Linked DNA regions of Oryctolagus cuniculus. The protein of the gene in region 4 interacts with the protein of the main gene of each other region in a pairwise test. Links are inferred from orthologs where the notes say so. Each region holds a gene or a part of one and is shown on either strand. Other genes may lie near its edges. The genes, in order: NEBL, TCEA2, FAM107A, CCDC136, HMG20A and PSMD9.

Evidence for each region.
Region 1: the proteins of CCDC136 (region 4) and NEBL interact in a two-hybrid assay, tested with the Homo sapiens proteins (2 studies listed by BioGRID and IntAct). The two-hybrid records come from large-scale screens. The link is inferred for Oryctolagus cuniculus from reciprocal best matches to the Homo sapiens genes CCDC136 and NEBL.
Region 2: the proteins of CCDC136 (region 4) and TCEA2 interact in binary tests that used the Homo sapiens proteins (3 or more experiments, as listed by UniProt). The two-hybrid records come from large-scale screens. The link is inferred for Oryctolagus cuniculus from reciprocal best matches to the Homo sapiens genes CCDC136 and TCEA2.
Region 3: the proteins of CCDC136 (region 4) and FAM107A interact in binary tests that used the Homo sapiens proteins (3 or more experiments, as listed by UniProt). The two-hybrid records come from large-scale screens. The link is inferred for Oryctolagus cuniculus from reciprocal best matches to the Homo sapiens genes CCDC136 and FAM107A.
Region 5: the proteins of CCDC136 (region 4) and HMG20A interact in binary tests that used the Homo sapiens proteins (3 or more experiments, as listed by UniProt). The two-hybrid records come from large-scale screens. The link is inferred for Oryctolagus cuniculus from reciprocal best matches to the Homo sapiens genes CCDC136 and HMG20A.
Region 6: the proteins of CCDC136 (region 4) and PSMD9 interact in binary tests that used the Homo sapiens proteins (3 or more experiments, as listed by UniProt). The two-hybrid records come from large-scale screens. The link is inferred for Oryctolagus cuniculus from reciprocal best matches to the Homo sapiens genes CCDC136 and PSMD9.

The regions. Positions count from the first base shown.
Region 1 is NC_091444.1:47,216,688-47,220,818, forward strand, and holds the start of NEBL (nebulette), read right to left. Parts: upstream 2,801-4,131; 5' UTR 1,875-2,800; coding exon 1,794-1,874; intron 1,707-1,793; coding exon 1,635-1,706; intron 1-1,634. UniProt on the Homo sapiens protein: Binds to actin and plays an important role in the assembly of the Z-disk. May functionally link sarcomeric actin to the desmin intermediate filaments in the heart muscle sarcomeres.
Region 2 is NC_091442.1:140,122-143,219, forward strand, and holds the end of TCEA2 (transcription elongation factor A protein 2), read right to left. Parts: intron 2,757-3,098; coding exon 2,626-2,756; intron 2,474-2,625; coding exon 2,417-2,473; intron 1,723-2,416; coding exon 1,568-1,722; intron 1,500-1,567; coding exon 1,353-1,499; intron 980-1,352; coding exon 896-979; intron 668-895; coding exon 659-667; 3' UTR 501-658; downstream 1-500. UniProt on the Homo sapiens protein: Necessary for efficient RNA polymerase II transcription elongation past template-encoded arresting sites.
Region 3 is NC_091441.1:91,452,716-91,456,058, reverse strand, and holds the end of FAM107A (actin-associated protein FAM107A), read right to left. Parts: intron 2,962-3,343; coding exon 2,805-2,961; intron 2,367-2,804; coding exon 2,259-2,366; 3' UTR 501-2,258; downstream 1-500. UniProt on the Homo sapiens protein: Stress-inducible actin-binding protein that plays a role in synaptic and cognitive functions by modulating actin filamentous (F-actin) dynamics. Mediates polymerization of globular actin to F-actin. Also binds to, stabilizes and bundles F-actin.
Region 4 is NC_091434.1:164,988,742-164,992,691, reverse strand, and holds the start of CCDC136 (coiled-coil domain-containing protein 136), read right to left. Parts: upstream 2,801-3,950; 5' UTR 2,725-2,800; coding exon 2,667-2,724; intron 2,030-2,666; coding exon 1,922-2,029; intron 279-1,921; coding exon 30-278; intron 1-29. UniProt on the Homo sapiens protein: May play a role in acrosome formation in spermatogenesis and in fertilization.
Region 5 is NC_091443.1:108,018,573-108,022,072, forward strand, and holds part of HMG20A (high mobility group protein 20A), read left to right. Parts: intron 1-160; coding exon 161-373; intron 374-3,500. UniProt on the Homo sapiens protein: Plays a role in neuronal differentiation as chromatin-associated protein. Acts as inhibitor of HMG20B. Overcomes the repressive effects of the neuronal silencer REST and induces the activation of neuronal-specific genes.
Region 6 is NC_091452.1:7,179,797-7,183,722, forward strand, and holds the start of PSMD9 (26S proteasome non-ATPase regulatory subunit 9), read right to left. Parts: upstream 2,801-3,926; 5' UTR 2,699-2,800; coding exon 2,561-2,698; intron 1-2,560. UniProt on the Homo sapiens protein: Acts as a chaperone during the assembly of the 26S proteasome, specifically of the base subcomplex of the PA700/19S regulatory complex (RC).

The DNA.
Region 1 (4,131 bases), on a different chromosome or scaffold from region 4:
CAGATATTGTTATTCTTGTCATTTCACTAGCATCACTGTAGTATACAAAGAACATCCGTGTACAGTAGCATATGACTATTACTAACAGCTTACGCCATTACTTTGTAGAAATACTCAATGCATATGCTAACCACAGCACTTGTCAAATATACGGGGAGGGTATGATGCCCACCACCATCCTTTGGCTCTTTCTGATAAACCAGAAAGCAGCACAGAGTTCTATATAAATGGTGACTGCATGGATGCAGATGTTACAGATGGAATACTTGATCACAGTGTTCTGGATAGTTTAGATAGCATCTAGTTGTGCTACCATTATTTAAGTTTATAATTAGGATGTTACACTTGAGGCTCTGGGCTCAGTCAGGTTATACAACCTTCCCACATTACCATGGAGTCCACTCAGGTAGGCTGACTTCAGAGAGCACACCGGCACGCTAGCCCACATCCCACCACTGTTTCCCATGAAAACAGGCAATTGTGAAATGTTCCAATCACCTTGCTCATTAACAACAGAAGTAACCTGTATGCACTCCTCTCCCTGAAGGAAGACACACGCACACATTTGCTTTCCAGGAGCCATCTTTGCTCTTTCAAGGCAGCCCTCACCACTAGGGAGCAACCTTCTTTCCTTGTACTTCTAGAATCCTAGTCTACACATTTACTGTAAGTGTGTACGTATACATATAGGCTAAATAATTCTATCCCAGTCACTGAAAAAAGTCCCCCCAAGGCTGGCACCGCGGCTCAACAGGCTAATCCTCCGCCTTGCGGCGCCGGCACACCGGGTTCTAGTCCTGGTCGGGGCGCCGGATCCTGTCCCGGTTGCCCCTCTTCCAGGCCAGCTCTCTGCTATGGCCAGGGAGTGCAGTGGAGGATGGCCCAAGTGCTTGGGCCCTGCACCCGCATGGGAGACCAGGAGAAGCACCTGGCTCCTGGCTTCGGATCAGCGCGATGCGCTGGCTGCAGCGGCCACTGGAGGGTGAACCAACGGCAAAGGAAGACCTTTCTCTCTGTCTCTTTCTCTCACTGTCCACTCTGCCTGTCAAAAAAAAAAAAAAAAAAAAGTCCCCCCAAAATGCTCCTTTCACTAACAGCACCAGCATTATTTGTATCAGAGTTCTTAACAATGCACGTCAGTAATCCAGAAATCCTAAATGCTACCCAAAAGCTATATGCATATAAGCAAACGCATTTTCCTCACTTGCAAAATGAATGCATTCATCAGATTAATCAAAAGGCCTCCAAAATGTTAAAATTATTCATTTAGCAGAGTTCCTCTCAAGACAAATTCCATCATGATAATAATTTCAGATTCCTTAGGTTCTCAAACAGAATATGCTCTACAATTGAATGCCTTAGGATTCCATGCCAGTCTGTCAGTAAAATTCCTAAGGGACAGAATTCCAGATGAAGAAGGAGAAGACCTGTTCCAGCAGAAATTCCCTGGATAGGTGACCTTGGAGAAAGCACTTACCGTTTTTGGACTTAATTCCACAATCTGAAAATCGTTGTGTTTTAAGAGCTAGTTTCAGGGTTGTCTCCCCCACTCAATGACACTCTCTCTATAATCGTGTATGGTGGGTAATATACCACACATGTAATGTCAAATAAAAGTTACTTAGGCCACTTACATCACTAATTAGTTCGGTGCATTTTTTAGCCAATTCCATGCTCAGGTCTTCAATAACAGGCTTAAAGAACACCTGTTCAAAAAAAGGAAAGAGAACATTTTTCTCACTACCAGTTTACAGGAACAAATATCAGGCTTGGGTAGCTGCTTTCTCACTCACCTTGTCTTCTTCATTTTCTTCTTCCCCTGTTTTTTCCTCTTCAGTTTCATCTTTTACATCCTCCACTAAAGGGACTTTCATTTTTACCCTTTCAAAACACCTGTATTTTAAAAATCTACGTGTGCAGTGTCTGCTGGGGCCCGCACAGCCCGGCTCTCTGGGTGCAGGAGGCGCTGTGGCAGGAATGACCTTGCCCAGTTCCCGCTCTATTTAGCTCGCACTTCACTCTCCTTATCTCAGTGGTGTGTGAGTGAGTGGACAGCATCCCAGAGGTCTGCAGGGCTAGCCCCACAAGTACAAACAACGTGTTCTTGGGCAGAATTCAATTTTATGAATTTTGAAAGTCAACATTCTTTAAACTGGTTAAGAAATTCTAAAGAGGAAATTTATTTATCTTTCACTGACTCAACTCATTCATAAGATAGTCTGAAATGGACTTAAAGATTCTTGGAAAACTACTTGGCTGTAACACTTAAGATAGCACAGTCAAATGCCTGTTATCACAAAGATTCCTCAACTCCATCTAAATAAAGCTGTAACTGGAATGTCAGACATAACTCTGATTGGTTACAGTGACTCTGGATCATTCAAACTCATTTCACTAACTTAAATTAAATGTTTTATAAGACATACACATATTTCTCTCATCTTAAAAACTACCCACTTTATATGAGCTGATTAAAGGCTAGTAATTTATTATGAAAAGCCTTTTGTACCACTTGAAAGAATCTATCCTGAATTAATTATGACTGTTAATCTTATATTGGTGAGTGTTATACTAATTGTAAACATTATTAAACATGAGAAGCAGCAATTAACATGCTGATGTATCATTTAAGAATCCAAAAACTCCCATATCTCAAAAAATAATCATCATCCTCTTTACATTCTACTCATCTTGTCAGTTTTTACAATTTTACTAGTTATTTGTATATTCTTCAATGCATCCTACATACTTGGAAAACTTTGGAAAAATAATCACAGTATATATATTGTGGCATGTGTCATAATTTATATAATTAAAGATCTATTTCTCAAAATCCTTTAATGTCAAGATTCTATACAACTTAAATTTATTAATTTGGTTACTAAAGTCCTAGGATACATTAACATCTACACAGCCACAGCATACCAATGTTGGACATAAAAAACACCCTATGGTGAATAATGGAGCTAATTATATAAAATACAACTTCATACAAAATAATACGTCATCTGAAGCAGTCAAAGATAATACTGTTTTCTTCTTAGATTATAGTTTTCAATTTATTTTTAGAAATGCATTTGGCCCTCCCTAAACTGAAAATTCTGTCAAGAGAAACATTCCTCACAAGCATGAAGTAGGAATGATTTCCCAGGCAGAATTCCATGGAGCCAAGGAACACTTAAGGTGGGGAGTGGGTTTCTTAAACAAACACATTTGGGACACCTTGGCACTAATCTCTCTCTGCCACTTGGAGAACCACATGGCACACTGACCCATGAGAAGTTCTGAGAAGACCCTCAACCAAAAACCCCATTTTTGTTTGCCTAACCAAATATTTCTAAAACATGAATTCTATCCATTTTATTACATCAAATGTATCTATCCATCTTTGTTTTTCAATGATAGCCACTGCCACAGAAAACTAACACATTTCTGTAAAATATTGCTTATTACTTAGGAAATATTTTGCTCTATTCTAACAAAATACATGGTGTGAAAGAGTGGCAGGTGTTGTCGTGAAAGAGTTTTTGATAACAGGCTAAATGAATAGCACCACATATTCTGCTTACCAGCAAATGACAAAAAGAAATTGCTCCAGCATGTTGAATATGGAAATCTTAACTTTAAGATAACAGCTCTGCACAGCCACAATAGCAGATACAAGGAAATTATTTATATATATTATATTTCTATCATAAAAGGGGAGAATTGCGAACCCTGATTGTTTCCCTCAAGTTCTCTGCCCAAGATAATTCCAATACTTGATAGAAAACCTGTGATACCACTTTTGTAAACAGAAAGCAGAAATTTCTAGAAACTTTTCTTATCAACCTCTCGAAGTATAGGGGAAAACCTCGACAAAACTGTCTAAGACATACCTCTTGGTTTGTATGTGAAGTGACAATTCTTGGGTTACTCATGGCCACATCTATTCCCCATGGCGAATCACCTTCATCAGGCATGAAGGGCAGCTGTTTTCTTATTTTCCATCACGTAGCATGCTTTTATTGACTCTTCACTGCACTGGAGAAAATTATCTGTTGAGATTTAACGTGCCAAAGTTTTGAAAGAGAAACTAAACACAATGTACAATGTGAACAAAAATTTTCCACTGTGATTTGAGAATCAGAA
Region 2 (3,098 bases), on a different chromosome or scaffold from region 4:
GCTCCTGTTTGTGTCTGCACTGGGGAGGGTTAGAGAGGAACTGCCCCAGACTCCAGGCTGGGAGGGGCCGTCGGGGTGGCTCTGCCTGGGTCTGGGATGGACAGATCCCTCGCAGGTAACAAAAGCTGGCCCTGGAGGCTGGGGTAGAACACTGGGTGACCCGGGTGCTAGGCAGGGGTCACAGTCACAGTACCCTGGGCCTGGAGGTCAGCATCACCACCACACTCCCGCCTGTTTCTGGGGCATTAAAGTGACTTGAGGCTGGAACTGGCCTGGAGCCATGAGACCCCACCCTTGCACGGAGGCAGCACAGGGACTGCCGTCCTGGAGGGGAAGGGGGGCACACACTGGGCAGAGTGGTGCAGCTTGGTCGTGCTGCCCTGTACCCCAGGACCAAAGGCCCTGAGGATGTTGGGGGGCTGCCCAAGTGTTTCCTACAGGGTTGCCTGGCCACCAGAGGCCCAGCTGAAACCTGGACACAACCCAGGAGGACCAGGAGCCAGGGACAGCAAAGAGACATTTAATAAGGACATGGAGGGGCAGGAAGGTGCACTCCAGGTAGGCGGGTGGGGCAGGGCATGTGGCCTCCTGTGGTCTCCAGAGACGCCCAGGAGAGCCAGCACTGGCCACAGCCAAGGTTGCAGCAACAGGCAGAAGCTCAGCAGAACTGCAAGGAAGAAGGAGCCCCTCAGTGGTGTCAGCCCAGGGGAGACCCTGGGGGGGGGGGGGGCAGGACAGGCTGGGCCAGGGCTGACACGGGGAGGGGGGCTGGACAGGCTGGCCCAGGGCTGACTCGAGACCCTGGGGGGGGGGGGGGGCAGGACAGGCTGGGCCAGGGCTGACACGGGGAGGGGGGCTGGACAGGCTGGCCCAGGGCTGGGCCCCACCCACCTACCTTCCAGCGGTTCCCACACTCGTTGCAGACGACGAAGGTGGTCATTGGCTCGTCAGAGCTGCGGGTCTGCACCTGTATGGAGGGCTGGGTGGGCCCACAGCTGGCCTGGGCCCCTGGGCCCTGGGCTGCCCAGCAACCCCAACCTTCCAAAGCTGGGCTTCTGGGGAAGCGAGGAGGTGGTCGTAGGACCCCAGCAGGAAGGGGTCCCAGTGCTCGTGGAGGCCCGGGGGTGTTACCCCAGTGAATGCCGGGCCCCAGAGCCCGTGGAGAAGCTGTGCTCACCCTCGGCCTCTGCCCGCTCTCCTCATGTCTTTGGGGGCCACACGGTCTCTGCCTCCATCAGTGGGAGGCATCCTGGACTGGGAGCGTGAGGCCGTGAAGGGGACCACCCCTCAAGGCGTCAGAGACCCAGAGGCTGGGGGGAAAGGCACCCCCAGGCCAAGGCCGGGGGGCTCACCTGCGTGTAGGTGCAGTTCTTCTTCCTGCACTTGCCACAGGTGAACAGGTCCGTCGGCGTGCCGCCCGTGCGGGCCATCTGGTGCTCCCGGATGGCCTCCTTGGTCATGGCCTTGCGGATCTCCTTCAGCTCGTCGCTGGCCATCTCCTGGGGGCAGGGGCCGAGTGCTCAGCCCTCAGTCTGGCAGGGGCGGCCCCAGCCCCCCACGGGCTCACCTCCGAGGTCATCACAGCGATTTGCTGGGGCGCGATGGCACCACACAGCACGTTGCGCCGCAGGTCGGGGTTCTTGGCATCCTTGAGGTTGGAGATGCGGCTGCGCACGCGGTTCTTGTACTTCATGTCCGTGCTGCCCACGTCCCGGAAGATGCGTGCAGGCACTTAAGGACCCTCGTGGAGGCGGTGCCCTGCCCAGCCCCACCACCTGGTCTGCTGCTGGGCCAGGCAGAGCAGGCCGCAGGGAAGGTGGGCAGGGGCACCTGCAGGCCAGTTCAGGGTGCACCTCAGCTCTGCTGAGGACCCAGGGCAGCCAGGTGGGATGGGCTGACCAGCCCTGGGCAGCCCACGGGGGCGCCCAGAATCAGACCCCTCCAGCAGGCAGGGCCCTCCGAGGGTAAGGCTACCCCACCACCCAGATAAAAGTCAGTGGCTGGTGCATAGCGGGTAAAGCTACTGCCTGCAACGCCGGCATCTCATACGGGTGCCAGTTCATGTCCCAGCTGCTCCACTTCCTATCCAGCTCCCTGCTCATGGCCCAAGTCCCTGGGTCCCTGCACCCACAGGGGAGGTCCAGGTGAAACTCCTGGCTTTGGCCTCACCCAGCCCTGGCTGTTGTAGCCATCTGGGGAGGGAACCAGCAGATGGAAGATCCACCTCTCTCTCCCCCCACCCCACCCCTTCTCTCTATAACTCTGACTTTAAAATAAATAAATCCTTAAACAACAAAAGCCAGTGACTGCCCAGAAAGGGCACTAAGCAGCTGGACAGTGGAGCCCCCATGGGGAGCCTGGCCCAGCGTCCCGCCTCTGCCAGACCCCTTGGCCCACAGCTGCACACAAAGGATATACTCCTCAATCTGGGCTGACAGACGCTCACAGTCCACACCGATGGCCACGTGGTCGCCTGCGGGAAGGACCCCACCAGCACCCCGACTGGTTCTCTGCCCGCACAGCACCCTGGCCTGGAGCCAGTACTCTGGTGACCCCCAAGACGGCCCCCCCTGCCTGATGTTGAGCGGGGGCTGGGGCAGCGGGGCTGTCTCACTGGACACGCACCGTCCGTCTGCAGGGCGGCGCTCAGCATCTCGCGGCACTTGGTGCGCACAGCATCGCAGGTGACAGGCACCGGGGGGAACGTGGTCATCCTTGGGGTGGATGGCGTCCTGGGCAGCTCCAGCCTCTTGCGGCTGCAGAGAGATGGGCTGCCCGTGACCCCACCCTGTCCACCCAGTTTGGCGTTCCTGTGGGGTCTGCCCAGCTGGCCACAGGGGGCGGGTCCTGTGGTCCCCACCAGGTCAGAGCTCATCCTCTCAGGGCACCCACCCTGCTTAGGTCTGAGGCGAGGGCAGCCTAGGCAATCAGGAGCTGCCTGAGTGGAAAACGAGGCAGGGGTCATCCAAGGCCAGCTTCCTCTGACAGAGAAAGTGGGGCCGCCCGCTGCCCAGGCTGCATCCTCCGGCCCAGCGGGCACAGCCCTGTGGAAATCAGCGGGAGCAGGGGGCTTCCGGAGGAGCACACGCCACAGACCC
Region 3 (3,343 bases), on a different chromosome or scaffold from region 4:
AGTTAGGGAGCTGGGAACGTAGGACCTTCTAGATGCTGGAAGGGCTGCGCTGGGAGCCAGTGGAGGGCCCTGTGCAGAGCGGCAGGATCTGCAGCACCACCTTGGCTGCCACACTGGGTATGGGCTCTGGGGCAAGGGCAGCACAGGGAGACCAGCTGGGGGTGACCGACGCAGGGTCCAGGTGGTGGGCAGGCTCTGTTCTAAGTGACGCCCTGGGATGTAGCGGGCTTCCTTCTCAGAGCAAACACTCTCCAAGTGCTTGTTGAATGATGTGTGCATTAGTCAGGCCCAAGTGCCTGTGTCAGGCCAGAAGGAGAAGGTGTAGAAAGACAGACCTCTGTCCTACAGCCGGGCAATTCCAACCCAATAGGTTTCTGATGAGAACGAGATATCGGAATTTGTAGTGTGATCTTCCAGGTAATTCTGGGCAGACACGTCTGGCCTTCTGTGTCCATAGGGATGCTTTTGGTTACAGTTAACAGAGACTGACCAACGATGGCTTACAACAAAGAGTGATTTATTTTTATTTACAAGACCTCTGGAGGATAGCTGCTGGCACTGGCTTGGTCCAAGGACGATAGGGTTGATGTCTGCGATTCTCTTGGCTTTTTTTCCTCATGTGGTAAAATGTCTGCTGTGGCTCCAGGCGTCACTTCCTCAGTCAAGGCAGGAGGAAGGGAAAGGGAGGGAGGTGTTAGCCATGGCTCTTTCATCCGAAAAGCCTGAGTTTTCCCAGAAGCCCCTGTGGACTTCCTCTCCAGTTTCATTGGCCATACATGGTCACATGGTCACCTTCAGTGTCAAAAGAGGTGGAATAGTGAGAGTCTGGATTTACAGCGTCTAGCAGGCAGTAGCTAGGGAGATGGAGTTGGACTGCCCACTGGGGAGTGAACTGGGTGTCTGCCATGGCTCCCCTGGGGCTTGAGGTCCCTTCCACCTCTGGGACTTTCTCTCCATGACATGCTGCCTCCAAGGAGCACCCTGGTGGCCATCCATTGGAATTCCACGAGTTCCCTGGGAATGGCCTGCTTCCTCCCGGACGCCCAGTCTGGCTTCTCTCCACACGTCCGAACAACACACAGACCCCCAAGGGGGACTTCTGGGGCACAGGTGGCCTTTATTTAGGGATCGTGCATCTTCGGCATAAACCTCATCCGGCTGATGTTTACACAGCGGCACCGCACCCTCAGCGCGTCAGGTTCAGGAGCTTTTTGAGCTCGGTTGAACGTGAATATGAGCATGCACACACAGAGACAGAATGGCTACATCTACACCTCTGCGGGCACCGCTCACAGGAAGGAGACGCCACCCTTGGTCCCTGGCTGGTCACCCAGATAGGAGTGAGAAAGGGCATCTGGGTGGTGGGTGGCAGCTCTCTCTGGAGGTGCTGGGTGGGGGTGGGAGCACACGCTCTCCAAAGGCGAGAGGAAAAGGTGAAGTCTTCGCTGCTTTTGGCTGGAGTCGCATATTGGTGCAGTTGCACAGGTGAGAAACACAGATTGGCAATTACGTCTGTCCCTGGGGAAAACACTCATTACATCTGCGACACAGACGCTGGGCCAGAGAGCCACAGTCTTCCGTGGAGTGGGGTGGGGAAGCCCCAAGGCAGGGTCCACCCCGGGTGCTCCAGCTTCGGCCTTTCCTGGGAGCCCCCGGCCCACGTCCGCCAGATCAGGCGCCGTAACTGAACATGAGCCCCTGTGGCTCCTACGCACAAGCAGGTGTGTGAAACGCATCGTTAGGTGTGTTCACAAGGTCCGGACTGGGCGGGGGAGAGGAGGAGAGCAAAGCTTGGGTGTGGTGGGGGTGGGGGGCGTTGGCAAACCCTCAGTGCCCTTCGTGAGTGTCTACCTTGCTTGCTGCCACCATGGGCGCTGCACCCTGCCTCAGTGCCTTCCCTCACTGCCCTTGGTGGCTTTCAAAGCGGGTGTCCTGGAAGCTGAGCTCTGCTTAGCTGCTCTCACCTGGCCACAGGTGAAACCACAGGTGGGTGAGTTCTCTGAGACCAGGGAGCCGGGCTGCTTCCGGGCCTGACAGCCAGAGGGGCTCCGATACCCACTGTGCAGTTGTGCAGGGAGGGGCACCTTGGTGAGGGTTCACCTGGCAATGGCTTCCCTTTGGGGCAGGGGGGGAGTGTGCTCAGAAGGAAACGGCTGGGCGTTCAGGGGGCGCCAGCTTCCCAGGGCCAGGCTGTTCTACAGGAGCAGGTGTGCGTGGCACGGGGTGGGGGGCCCGGGCTGCCGGGCGCTGCAGCCGCTCTACAGGGCTCGCTCTTCGCTGGGCAGCGTGGCGATCCTCCGCAGGTTTTCCCTGACTTTCATAAACTCCGGCGCGTGCTCTTCCTCCTGCTCCGGGGGTTTTTCCAGCTGAAGGAGAGAGACACAGCGGTGTGAAGCGGATGGGGCTGCGAGAATTCATTCCTGGTCTCAGAACCGAGGGGTCTGGGTGTCCTCGGGAGGGAGACGGAACGGGCCTGGGTGGACAGAGCACCGCTGACTGCACCTGGGCCTCAGTCCCCCCCCCCCCAAGGTGGCAGTGCCACCTGGCTCACAGGGCAATGTGAGAGTGAAATCAGAACTGGCTTGTGGCACACTGGGGCAAGGACGAAGCTCAGGTCCAGAGAGGTGAAGCCATTCCTCCAAGTCACACAGCGCCGTGAGTGGCAGAGCGAGGGCTCAGGCTGCTGGCGGACTCCGGGTCCAGTGCTCCTCCTGCTGACGAGCTGCGGCCACACGAAGAGGCCCTCTCTGGGCCCAGAGGCGGCCCTGGAAGAGGCTGGGGCCGGCGCTGGGTTCTCCACCCACCTGGTTCAGCCTCTGCTGCCGTCTCAGCAGCTCCTGCTCGAAGGGGCACTGCAGCCGCTTGGCCTCCTGTTCCTCCTTCTTCTTCTTGATGAGCTGGTTCCGCCGCCGGTGCTCCAGCACGCGCTGCAGCTCGGGCTTGCTGTCCACGCCCAGGCCCCTGCGGGGGTGGGGTGGGGGCCGTCAGGAGACCCCTGCCCTCCCACCTCCCCCAGGCTCAGGGCTTCACCTTGGAGTGACGCCATGCCATCCTCCTGGCAGCCCCCGGAGTGGAAGCTTTACTGTCCCATTTTACAGAGAAGGGAACAGGGGCTGGTCAGCTGAGGACACTCCTCCGAGCCACAGCCATAAGGGGCCTGGGTGAGGATCTGAACCCGGGCCTGTCTGACTGCAGAGACCAGGTTTTATGTGATAGGCACAGAGAGTGAGTTTCCCTCTGCCGATTCACTCCCCACTTGTCTGCCATGCCAGGACTGGGTCTCGGCTGGCTGCAACTTGGACCCTGCCTCTTAGGTGGGTGGCAGGGACTCAAGTGCTTAAGC
Region 4 (3,950 bases):
AGGCCCCCCGGCCCGCGGCAGGCGCTCACCCTGCAGCTCCAGGGAGTCGTCCTCATGCTGCCCGACCAGCTCCCGCGTCTCCTCCAGCTCGGCCACCAGCTGCAGCACCTGGGCTCTCAGCTCGTCCAGCTCAGTCTCGGTGAGGCTCAGGCCCCGGTGCTTGCTCAGGGACAAGGAGCCTCCGCTGCCAGCCTTCTGCATGTGCTCAGCTTCTTCTTCTTCCACCTCCTCCTCCTCCTCCTCTTCCTCCTCATAGAGAGCTGGCAGTAACACCTCTCCTGGGAGAGACGCCCAGCCCAGAAGAGAGTCAGTGCCAGCCTCCTGTGCGTGGCCCTTCCAGAGGGCAGAGCGGCGTAACAGTGCCGCCCGGTGTGCCCAGGAGTCCCCTGGATGCCTGATGAGCCCTAGGTGTTAGGGGCAGGTCAGGAGGCCACCTCGCCCTCCCCTCCCCCAGATCCTCCTGGCCCAACGGCACGCTTGGTGGCCTCTGCCTCCAACCTGTGGGCAAACAGTCTCCTGGCTCAGCCCGGGGAACCACACATGCACACCCAAGTCTTTTCTAGTGTGTTCTCTGGGGAGAGGGCTGAATGGTCAGGAGATTCGGACACCAGGCATGCCTTTAGGCCAATCAGGGCCAGAGTTACAGTTTGAGGATTTGTAGAAAGTTTTTTTTTTTTAAATTATTCAGGTGGCTTAGTGTAAAATTAGCCTTTCCATAATAAGCAAACATTGCCCGTCAGTAGGTAGAGAAAGAAAACATGTGAATGAAATGATTCTAAATTCACTGGACAAACGCGGGGGCCCTTTCAAACGCATTCTGTCAAACAGCTGTTTGGAATTTTCTGCAAGCTCCCCTTGCTTGGCCCTGCTGGGGCTGGCTGTCACGGGGCCTCCCCTCCCCACCTGAGCAGGGTGAGGCCCCTCCTCCCTTGGCCCTCCTGGCTGTCACAGGGCCTCCCCTCCCCACCTGAGCAGGGTGAGGCCCCTCTTCCCTTGATAACCCCTCTTGCCCCTGGAGTTTTCAGGGCAAGTCTTAGCTTGCACCTGTGTGTAAAAGTGAGCCTGCCACTGTAATGTGTTTCAAAGGAAAAAAATAATAATAATAATAATAGCAACAGGGGGGGGTTAGGTGCTGGTCCCCAGCCCCTGGTTGGCGAGCAGCCCCTCTTTCACTGCAATGCAGTTCCTGGAAATAGCAAAATCTTGTCTGAACGGTGATTGTCTGCTTTGTCTTCAAATGCAGAGGCTCTGCTCTTACTTCCTCTTAGCAGCAGCCTAAGGCTCAGCTGGGACCCCTGTGTCACCTGCCCCTCTTAAGGGGACCAGGGTGGCCCACACCGAATAGGCGGAGGGGCCTGGGGACTCCTCCCAGGGAGTCCCGGCACCTGGACCAGCCGTGTTCTTCCAGGGGCCCGGCGTTGGCTGCGGTGCCCAGTCACACGGGTGGGGTGGGCACCCACGTGCGTCGGAGGGGACGGCCTCACCTGCCCTTCCTGGCCTGGCTCTTCCAGGCGACCAGAGCCCGGAGGACCGCAGCTGCGAGACTTTGCTTTGAAGTGCATGGCGGTGCCCATGCCCTTGCCTTTTTTAAAAACCAGAGACAGCTTGGGATCTGGGTCGCAGGCGGGGAGAACGAACCCCCCACTGAAAGACTGCTTCAAAGCTCTGTCCACAGAGGCCTGGTTCTCTGTCTGGCAGCTCCCCAGGGGCACGCAACCTGGTTAGCTGTGCCATCGGGGCCCCAAAGGGATGCACCTTGAACTTTCCTCAGAGCGCCCTGGGGAGGACTGGAGTTCCCACCCAAAGGAGGAGGGGCCTGAGGGAAACAGAGGTCAGGGCTGTGGCACGGGCTCGGAGCTCTGGGGTCACAGGGAGGGAGGAGAAGGGACCGGAAAGAAAGATGCCCTTTTGGGAAACTCACCCTCCATAGCTTGCATCCCTCGCCGCTCCAGGGACCCCCAGCGCTGGCCCTTCTTCCTCTCACAGCCCTCGGACACCTCATAGGAGCCTAAAGTGGTTACTGTGGGTCCTGTGAGCAGGGAGACAGGAAGCCATGTGGGGGGCAGGGGAAGAGAGGGGACGGACGTGCCTTCCAGGCCGGTGGGGCCCTGGGATCTGCAATCCCAGCGGAGGCGCCTGCCAGCTCAGCTCTGCGACTCCCCTCCCTCAGCCTCCCCCGCGGGGACCCCAGCCCAGCTGGGGTCCTGGTCTAGGCAGAAGGAGGGCGGGCGTATGTTCAGAAGAGGGGACCGAGAGGAGAGGGGCTGGGACGCAAGGAAGAGCAGCAGCCAGGAAGGGGGAGCGGCCGTGCGACTGCAAAGCGGCGACAGAGGCGCACGAAGGGGTCTGGGCGGGGACGCCCCCTACCCGCCCCGCCCCGCCCCTCCCGTCACACCTCGCCGGGCGCCCAGGAGCCTTTAGGACTGGAGGGGCTGCAGCGGCTGGAGCCCCCGCGAGCTGGAGGGGCAAGAGGGGAGGGCCCCCGGGGAGGATGTGGCCGCTGTACCGGAAAGATGGAGACCGGGCCCGGGACGCGCGGGGACGGAGGGAGGAAGGCTGAGGGCGGAGGGGTGGGCAGCGGAGGAGCAGGGATGCCCGGGGTCTGCAGGCAGGCGCGCAGGAGCGGAGGCAGGAGGGGCGGTGAGGGGAGGGAGGACGGCTCTGACCTGGGCCCGGGCAGCTCCAGCCCGCGGCTCCCGCGCCGGCCCCGGCGCCCGCCTCCATGGCCGCTCCCGCCGCTGCCGCCGCCTCCCCGAGCCGAAGCCGCAGCCGCCGGGCCGGGACCCGAATGGGCGCGCGGGGAGGAGAGAGGGCGGACCGAGGGGCGGGGCCTGGCCAGGCCTCCCGCTGCTGCCGCCGCCGCCGCCTCCCGGAAGCCCTCCCTGCGCGCTCTCTGCGAAGGTGAGCGCGCCTCGGCACGCCTCGGGTCTTGCCCTCCGACACGAGCTGCCCCGACAAGGAGCGGCCACATCCATCTGCTGTGGTGGCAGGGACGCCTCTGCGGCCGGTGTCGGGGCCCGGTCCTGCCCAATGACTGCGGAGGAAGGGCAAGGTGCCCATCCCCGCAGCGCGGTGACCCCCTCCAAGCGCCTTCGTGGGGGAAGCCAGGCCGGGACATGAGCACTGCGGGGCCTGAGCCCTCCGTGTTCCCTGGACGCCCACCCAGCCACAGCCCCGGGCCCGAAGACCCCTTCACCGTCCCGCTCTGTCTCCCTCCGGCCCACACCCAGTGGCTGCAAACCACGCCCCCGCCGAAGTCTGCCATGGTCACTCCAGTGGAAGGGAGCAGTGGGGTCCCAAAGGGCTTCTTATTCAACCGTCCACGCATTCAGGGAGTGGCTGCGGGCGCTGGATTGCCGAGGCAGTTGTCACCTCTCAGAAACGTGGGAGATCCCTAAACCCGAGGCGCACAGACCCCTTCTCTTGCATATCCGCCGCCAGGTTGGGGGGGGCACCTAGAAGGGCTGTCTGCCTTCATTCACCCCTGCGCCTCCTCCTCCCGGATTCCCAGGCCCTACACGTGGAAGGCCTCATCTGCTCCCCAGGGGATGCCCTCTCTGGGCTCTGCGCCTCCCAGCATGGTGGTGGGGGGCGAGGATCCTGTGTGCCCAGCTTCTTGAAGGTTGGGAAGTATCTTAGACCTTGTGTCTCCAGCATCGGTCAGAGTACCTGAGGCACAGAAGGCGCGTGTACAAGTCAAGCACAGGTAATGCTGTCTTAGCAGTGAGCAGAGGGCGACATCCTGTGCAGTCCACGGTGCCCATTAGCAAGAACGTTGCCTGCAAGTCCCTTACTCCCCAGCCCCTCTCCTGTCCCCTTGGCTCGGTCCCCCCCCCCCCCCCCGCAGCCTGAGGCGCTGAGAAATGGTGAACACAGGTCGGGGGTGTTTCCTGCACTTGCTCCAGACCTTGCGGCCAGAAGAGCCCAGTGAGCGGGAAATAGCAGCTCTG
Region 5 (3,500 bases), on a different chromosome or scaffold from region 4:
CAGACACGCATACCCGGGACAGATGTGGAGCACTCTGCATGTCTAGGGCCTTATTCATCGGAAAATGAAACTTCCTATTCTCTGTGTTGGTGTTTATTGTTGTTGAGATATGTGTGGGGATTGTCATTGTTTGTTTTTTTTACTGTGCTTTGTTTTGTAGCAAAGAAGTAAACGAGGAGGTTGGTCCAAAGGAAGAAAGCGGAAGAAACCTCTTCGAGACAGCAATGCACCCAAATCCCCCCTTACAGGATATGTTCGGTTCATGAATGAACGGCGAGAGCAGCTTCGAGCAAAGAGACCGGAAGTCCCGTTTCCGGAAATCACGAGGATGTTAGGCAACGAATGGAGCAAACTGCCTCCTGAGGAAAAGCAGGTAATGGCTCTTCTCCTCGTCCTTTGCTTGGTATTGATTCTGTCTCAAAATAGCTGTGTCAGAAAAGCAAAGAGGAGCGATGAGTGGTTTGTCTTGCAGTTATGAGGCCTGCATCCCCCATCAGAGTGCCAGGGTTCAATACCCACTTCACCTCCACCTCCTACCTCCAGCTTCCTGCTGATGTGGACCCTGGGAGGCAGTGGTGATGGCCAAGTAACTGGGCTCCTGCCACCCATGGGAGAGACCTGATTGCATTCCTGGCATCATTTGAGAAGTGAACCATTGGATGTGAGAACTCGCTCATGTGCGCTTTCTCCATCTCGCTCCCTCTTTGTCTCTCAAAAAAACAAACAAACAAATAAAAGCAAAGAGGATGGATGGTTGCTTCTCTGATTTTGTTGCAGAGCCTAGGAGACTAAAATAATAGGATCCTTCATAGCTCTTTTCTCTAACAGTGGTTCTTAAACTTCATCACGGTTTGCTGCAGGGATGTGAGCAGGAGGTAGGACTCCCCTCAAATACAGCAGCTCCACTTCCATGAGTGTTTGATTTCTGTGCTAAGAGTTCACATCAGACTGTTTTGCAAAGTTGTTCAATATTAAGAAATTAAGAAATCAGTCAACAGGATTTATTCCACTGAGTTAAACAAAAATTGTGAATTAAATGGGAAGAAGTTCATTTGATAAGATGCTACAGTTCACGTCAGAATTTTGTTTATGGGCCAGCCAGCGTTGTGGCACAGCAGGTGAAGTGGCTACTTGTAATGCCAGCACCCATATCAGAGCACTGTGCAAGTCCTGGCTGCTTGGCTTCTGACCCAGCTTCCTGCTAATGCACCTGGTATTGATGGCCCACGTACTTGAGCCCCTGCCACCTGTGTAAGAATCCCAGATGGAGTTTTAGGCTTCTGGCTTCCAGCTGCGGCCTGGCTCAGTGCTGGCTTTTTTTTTTTTTTTTTTTTTTTTTTTTTCCTTTTTTTTTTTTTTCCTATATTTGGAGCTCACCAACAAATGGAATGTCTCTCTCTTTCCCTGTCTCCCTCTCTCTCTCCCTGCATCTCTCCCTCTGTCTCTGATGTTGCGCCTTTCAAATCAATAAATCTTTTTTTATAAAAAAATATTTTTGTTTCTGAAAAGGATTGTACTGCTTTAAGAATTTTTTTTTAGCTAGAGTTCTGGCAGATTTTACATACTATGGAAAATAAAGCAAGAACTACTTGAATTCTTTCTCATCTAAGACAGAGACTAGCCCTGTTGCCAAACTGAAACAAATCCATTTGTTGAAGAGATTTGAGGGGAATTAAGGACAAGGTAGCCTTGCGCTGGGTGAGATCCCACTGAAGCAGAGTGAGGCTGAAAGTTCCCACCAGCCTCAGCGTCTGAAAGATGTCCTTATTCTTTTATGTCTTAGACTCATAGATCTGTGACTTAACCCTCTTTTTTTTTTATTTTATTTACTTATTTGAGAGGCAGAGTCACAGAGAGAGAGAAAGGCCCTCAATGCTCTGGCTAACCCCCAAACAGCCATTGTAGCCGGAGCCAGGAGCCTCCTCCGGGTCTCCCACGCAGGTGCAGGGGCCCAAACAGTTGCGCCGTCCTCCACCATCTTCCCAGGCCATAGCAGAGAGCTGGATCAGAAGAGGAGCAGCTGGGACCAGTGCTTACACACAGATGCCAGCGCCACAGGCAAAGGCCCAACCCACTACACCACAGCGCCAGCCCTGACTTACCCTGTTTATAAAGAATGTCAGACAGGCCAAAACCAAATTGGAAAATGCTCTCTGGGTAATTAATTGAAGTCAAACACTTGTAAGAGGTTAGATCACATCGCTGTTTGTGGTAATAAGCTAATATAAAGAATATGTATCATGCGTTGTTTTGGCTTTACTGTATAAAGGGGTCAGGAACAGGGACATCCTAGCTAGATTATGATTTTCTCTTTGTTTCATTCAAAATTAATGCATATCCATTGTTTAACTTTGTTCAGACAGTACAGAAATGCCTACATGAAAAAGCAAAAGTGACAGTTTTCTCCAGGGATGACCACTGTTAGTTATGTGGGGAGAGAGTTTTGTGTTTTTGCTCTTTTCACTTTTTCTTTGCAAATAGTTTTAAATGTTCAAGTTACAAACAAAAATAATACAGAGAATATCCGCCCATGCTTTACTCAGATTGAAAGTGACAGACAGATTTGCCTGTTGACACATTTCATCCCATTTCTCCATTTCATTGCACTCATACTTGTACACACCCAATCTCTCTCTCACATGCACACATGCGGTTTTTTCTGAATCACTTGAGGGTAAGTGACATATAATCATGACCCTTTACCCCTGATTATTTCAGTGTATTAGAAATAGTCTCTTATGGAGCCGGCACTGTGGCACAGCTGGTAAAGCCACTGCCTGTGATGCTGGCATCCCATGTGGGCACCAGTTTGCGTCCCGGCTGCTCCACTTCCGATCCAGCTCCCTGCTAATGGCCTGGGAAAAGCAGCAGAGGATGGCCCAAGTACTTGGGCCTCTGCTACCCACATGGGAGACCCAGATGAGGCCACTGCCTCTTGGCTTCAGCCTGGCCCAGCCCCAGCTGTTGTGGCTGTTTTGTGGTGTGAACTAGCAGATGGAAGATCTCTGTCTCTCCTTCTCTCTCTGTACCTCTGCCTTTCAATAAATAAATAAGTCTTTAAAAAAAATTTCTCTCTTAAATTAACTGTAATAAGCAACTAAGTAAGAGCCTTCCTCCTCTGAGGAAGGCTTTTATTTGTTGTCTATTATTGGTATGAAAACAAATAGTTATTATTGCTATGAATCCTTTTTTCCCCAATGTTGTCTGACTTATTGTACATAATGATTTCATTGCTTAAGTGATCCCAGATTTGACTGGTTCACTCTCCTCTGTGTCTGGCTCATATGTGGCACAGAATTGTCAACAGAATTTCTAATTCTGGTTTGTGTTCATTCAGAAGCAGTACGTTCATATTTTCTTATACATAGTTTGATGACTGCACAGCTGAAGACATTAAACAGAATAATCCTGGTAGACCGATGAACCTTGTTTAAATAATTAATAGCACACAGCAACAGAGCATGTAGATAGAGGCTTTCTCGGAGTAGTCTGTTTTTGGA
Region 6 (3,926 bases), on a different chromosome or scaffold from region 4:
TCGGCCCTGGCCATTGCAGCCATTTGGGGAGTGGACCAATGGATGGAAGCTCACTCGCTCTCTGCATCTCTCTCTTTCTCTAAATCTGACTTTCAAATAAATAAGTAAATCTTTTAAAAATAAAGAAAATATTTATTCCTGGGGCCAGCATTGGGTTAAGCCACCATGTGCAACACTGACATCCCATATGAGCACCAGTTCAAACCCCAGCTGTTCCACCTCTGATCCAGTACCCAAGTACTTGTGCCCGTGCCACCCATGGGGGAGACCTGGATGGAGTTCCAGCCCCAGCTGTTGTAGTCATTTGGAGAGTGAACCAGTGGATGGAAGGTCTCTCTCTCTCTCTCTGAAATTCTGCCTTTCAAATAAATAATAAATCCTTTTACAATTAAAATATTGATTCTCTTTCCAGTTCTCTTCAATATTCAGTCTTTACAATCCCAGATTACTTGCTGTCTCTGAGTTGTTCCAATTTTGAAAGTTTTTTCTTTTTTAAGATACATTTATTTTAAAGTCAGAGTTACAGTGAGAGGAGAGAGAGAGGAGAAAGATCTTCCATCTTTCTCCTGGGCCCTGATGGCCCCAATGATCAGTGGTGGGCCAGACTGAAGTGAGGAGCTTCTTCCGGGTCTCCCACGTGGGTGCAGGGCCCAAGCACGTAGGCCATCCTCCACTGCTTTCCCAGGCCACAGCAGCGAGCTGGATCGGAAGTGGAGCAGCCGGGACTGGAACTGGAGCTCTGACATGGCATGCTGGTGTCACAAGTGGTGGCTTAACCCACTGGGCCACAGCACAGATTCCCCGTTTTTGAAAGTTTCATTGAGATATTGTTCACTTATCATAAATTGCTCCATTGAGCAGTGAACAATTCAGGCCGGCGCCGCGGCTCACTAGGCTAATCCTCCACCTTGCGGCGCTGGCACACCGGGTTCTAGTCCCAGTCGGGGCGCCGGATTCTGTCCCGGTTGCCCCTCTTCCAGGCCAGCTCTCTGCTGTGGCCGGGAGTGCAGTGGAGGATGGCCCAAGTGCTTGGGCCCTGCACCCCATGGGAGACCAGGAGAAGCACCTGGCTCCTGCCATCGGATCAGCGCGGTGCGCCGGCCGCGGCGGCCATTGGAGGGTGAACCAACGGCAAAAGGAAGACCTTTCTCTCTGTCTCTCTCTCTCACTGTCCACTCTGCCTGTCCAAAACAAAACAAAACAAAACACTAGGCTAAAGTGAACAATTCAGTGGTTTTCAGAATATTCACAGACCCGTCCAACCCTCACCCTCAATTTTAGTACATCTTCATCACCCCCAAAAAGAAGCCTCATCAGCAATCACTCTCACTCCCTCCCCCCAGACCCCAGCAACTACTTTCTGTTCCTATGGATCTGCCCATCCGGGACATCTCACAGGGATCTGCCCATCCTGGACATCTCACACGGGTCTGCCCATCCCGGGCATCTCACAGGGATCTGCCCATCCCGGGCATCTCACAAGGATCTGCCCATCCTGGACATGTCACACGGGTCTGCCCATCCTGGACATCTCACACGGGTCAGCCCACCGTGGACATGTCACACGGGTCTGCCCACCGTGGACATGTCACAGGGATCTGCCCATCCTGGACATCTCACACGGGTCAGCCCACAGTGGACATGTCACACGGGTCTGCCCACCGTGGACATGTCACAGGGATCTGACCACCGTGGACATATCACACGGGTCTGCCCATCTGGGACATCTCACAGGGATCTGCCCACCGTGGACATCTCACACGGGTCTGTCCATCCCGGGCATCTCACACGGGTCTGCCCATCCTGGACATGTCACAGGGATCTGCCCACCGTGGACATGTCACAGGGATCTGCCCATCCTGGACATGTCACAAGGATCTGACCACCGTGGACATGTCACAGGGATCTGCCCATCCTGGACATGTCACACAGGTCTGACCACCGTGGACATCTCACAAGGATCTGCCCACCGTGGACATGTCACACGGGTCTGCCCATCATGGACATGTCACACAGGTCTGACCACTGTGGACATCTCACAGGGATCTGCCCATCCTGGACATGTCACACGGGTCTGCCCATCATGGACATGTCACACGGGTCTGCCCATCATGGACATGTCACAGGGATCTGCCCACCGTGGACATGTCACACGGGTCTGCCCACCGTGGACATGTCACAGGGATCTGTCCATCCAGGGCATCTCACACGGAGCCTGCAGTAGGAGCACCGCCTGAGGCCCCGCCCCCGGCACGCCCCGCACTCTAGCCACGCCCCCAGGCGTCCCGCATGCGCACTGGCGTTCCAGCGGCTCCCACGTCCACCAGGACCCCAGGCGGCGGTGATCGCCATCGGCTTCCTGGTCTCCAACGCGGGGAGCTCGGCGGCACCGAGCTGCCGGGCCAGCCCCGGGAGAGACGCCCGCGCCGCGCCCCTCGCAGGGGGCGGTCAGCCCGCGCCGCCGCCCAGGGAGGCCGTGGGAGAACCAGCCACGGCCGAGCGTCCCGGCAAGCCCTCGGGGCGCTCCCACGCCGCCCGGCAGCCCCGAGCCCTCACTCACGCCCTCCAGCACGTCGTAATTCGCCTTGATCTGCGCCTCAATCTCCTCCTTGCGCCGCATCAGCTCCTGGATGTCGCTGATAGTGTCGGCGCGGGCCTGCGAGGCGCCTCCGCTCGGCATCGCTTCCTTATCCGACATCGCGGCCCCCCACCCCGGGACCCTGGGCAGAGAGTGGCTACGGCTCCGCCCGCGGGCCAAAACACCTCAGCCGTCCGCGAGCGCGGGGCGACGCGAGGGGCGGGGTCGTTGGAAGCCACGCCCCCGCACGCACAAGCGCTACGGGGTGATGTCACCCTGGGTGACTTATTTTCATTACTCATTTGCTTAACAAATATTTATCGGGCACCTACCAAACGCATGTCCCAGATAAAGGGGCCACGGTGCTTGGATTCGGTTCCTCGCTTCTGCAAAAGCCTTGAAATGTACATAAATTCATATTTTTTTTAATCTCCTGTTTTACAAACTCTACAGTCCTGGGTTCGAATTCCAGTTTGTGCCCCTTACTGCAGCCCTCCCCTGGTTGTTTCAGCCATTTGGAGAGTGAACCAATGGATGGAAGATCTCTCCAACTCCACATGTAAAATATAAATTAAAAAAACTTTAAAAATAAAATTGGGGCCAGCTCTGTGGCATAGCAAGTAAAAATGCCGCATCCCATATGGGCACTGGTTCGAGTCCTGGCTGTTCCACTTCTGATCCAGCACTCTGCTTTGGCCTGGGAAAGCAGTAGGAAATGGCCCAAGTCCTTGGGTCCAAGCACATATGTGGGAGACCTGGAGGAAGCTCCTGGCTCCGGGCTTTGGACCGGCCCAGCTCCGACCATTGCAGCCATTTGGGGAGTGAACCAGTGGATGAAAAACCTCTTTCTCTCTCTGCCTCTGCTTCTCTGTAACTCTGCCTTTCAAATAATGAGTCTTTTTGAAAAGTATATAAAAACTATGGATAAATATACACAAAAAAATAGAGAATGGTGGTAGATTAACACCTCAAAGTTTTTTAAAAATAAAATAATAAAAATTAAGTTAAAAAGTTGCAAAATTGGAGCCAACATAGCAGTATAGCCAATGAAGCCACACCTGTGATGCTGGCATCCCAGTTCCAGTCCCAGCTGCTCCATTTCCCATCCAGCTCCCCGCAAATGCACATAGGAAAGCAGCAGAAGACAGTCCATGCTTGGGCCTCTGCCACCCACATGGAAGACCCAGATGAAGCTCCTGGGTTGTAGCGTTGGCCTGGCCCAGCCCTGGCTATTGTGGCCATCTGGGCAGTGAACCAAAGGAGGGAAGATTCATTCTCTCTCTCTCTCTCTCTCTCCCTCCCTCCCTCCCTTCTCTCTCTAACTCTGATTTTCAAATAAATAAATATT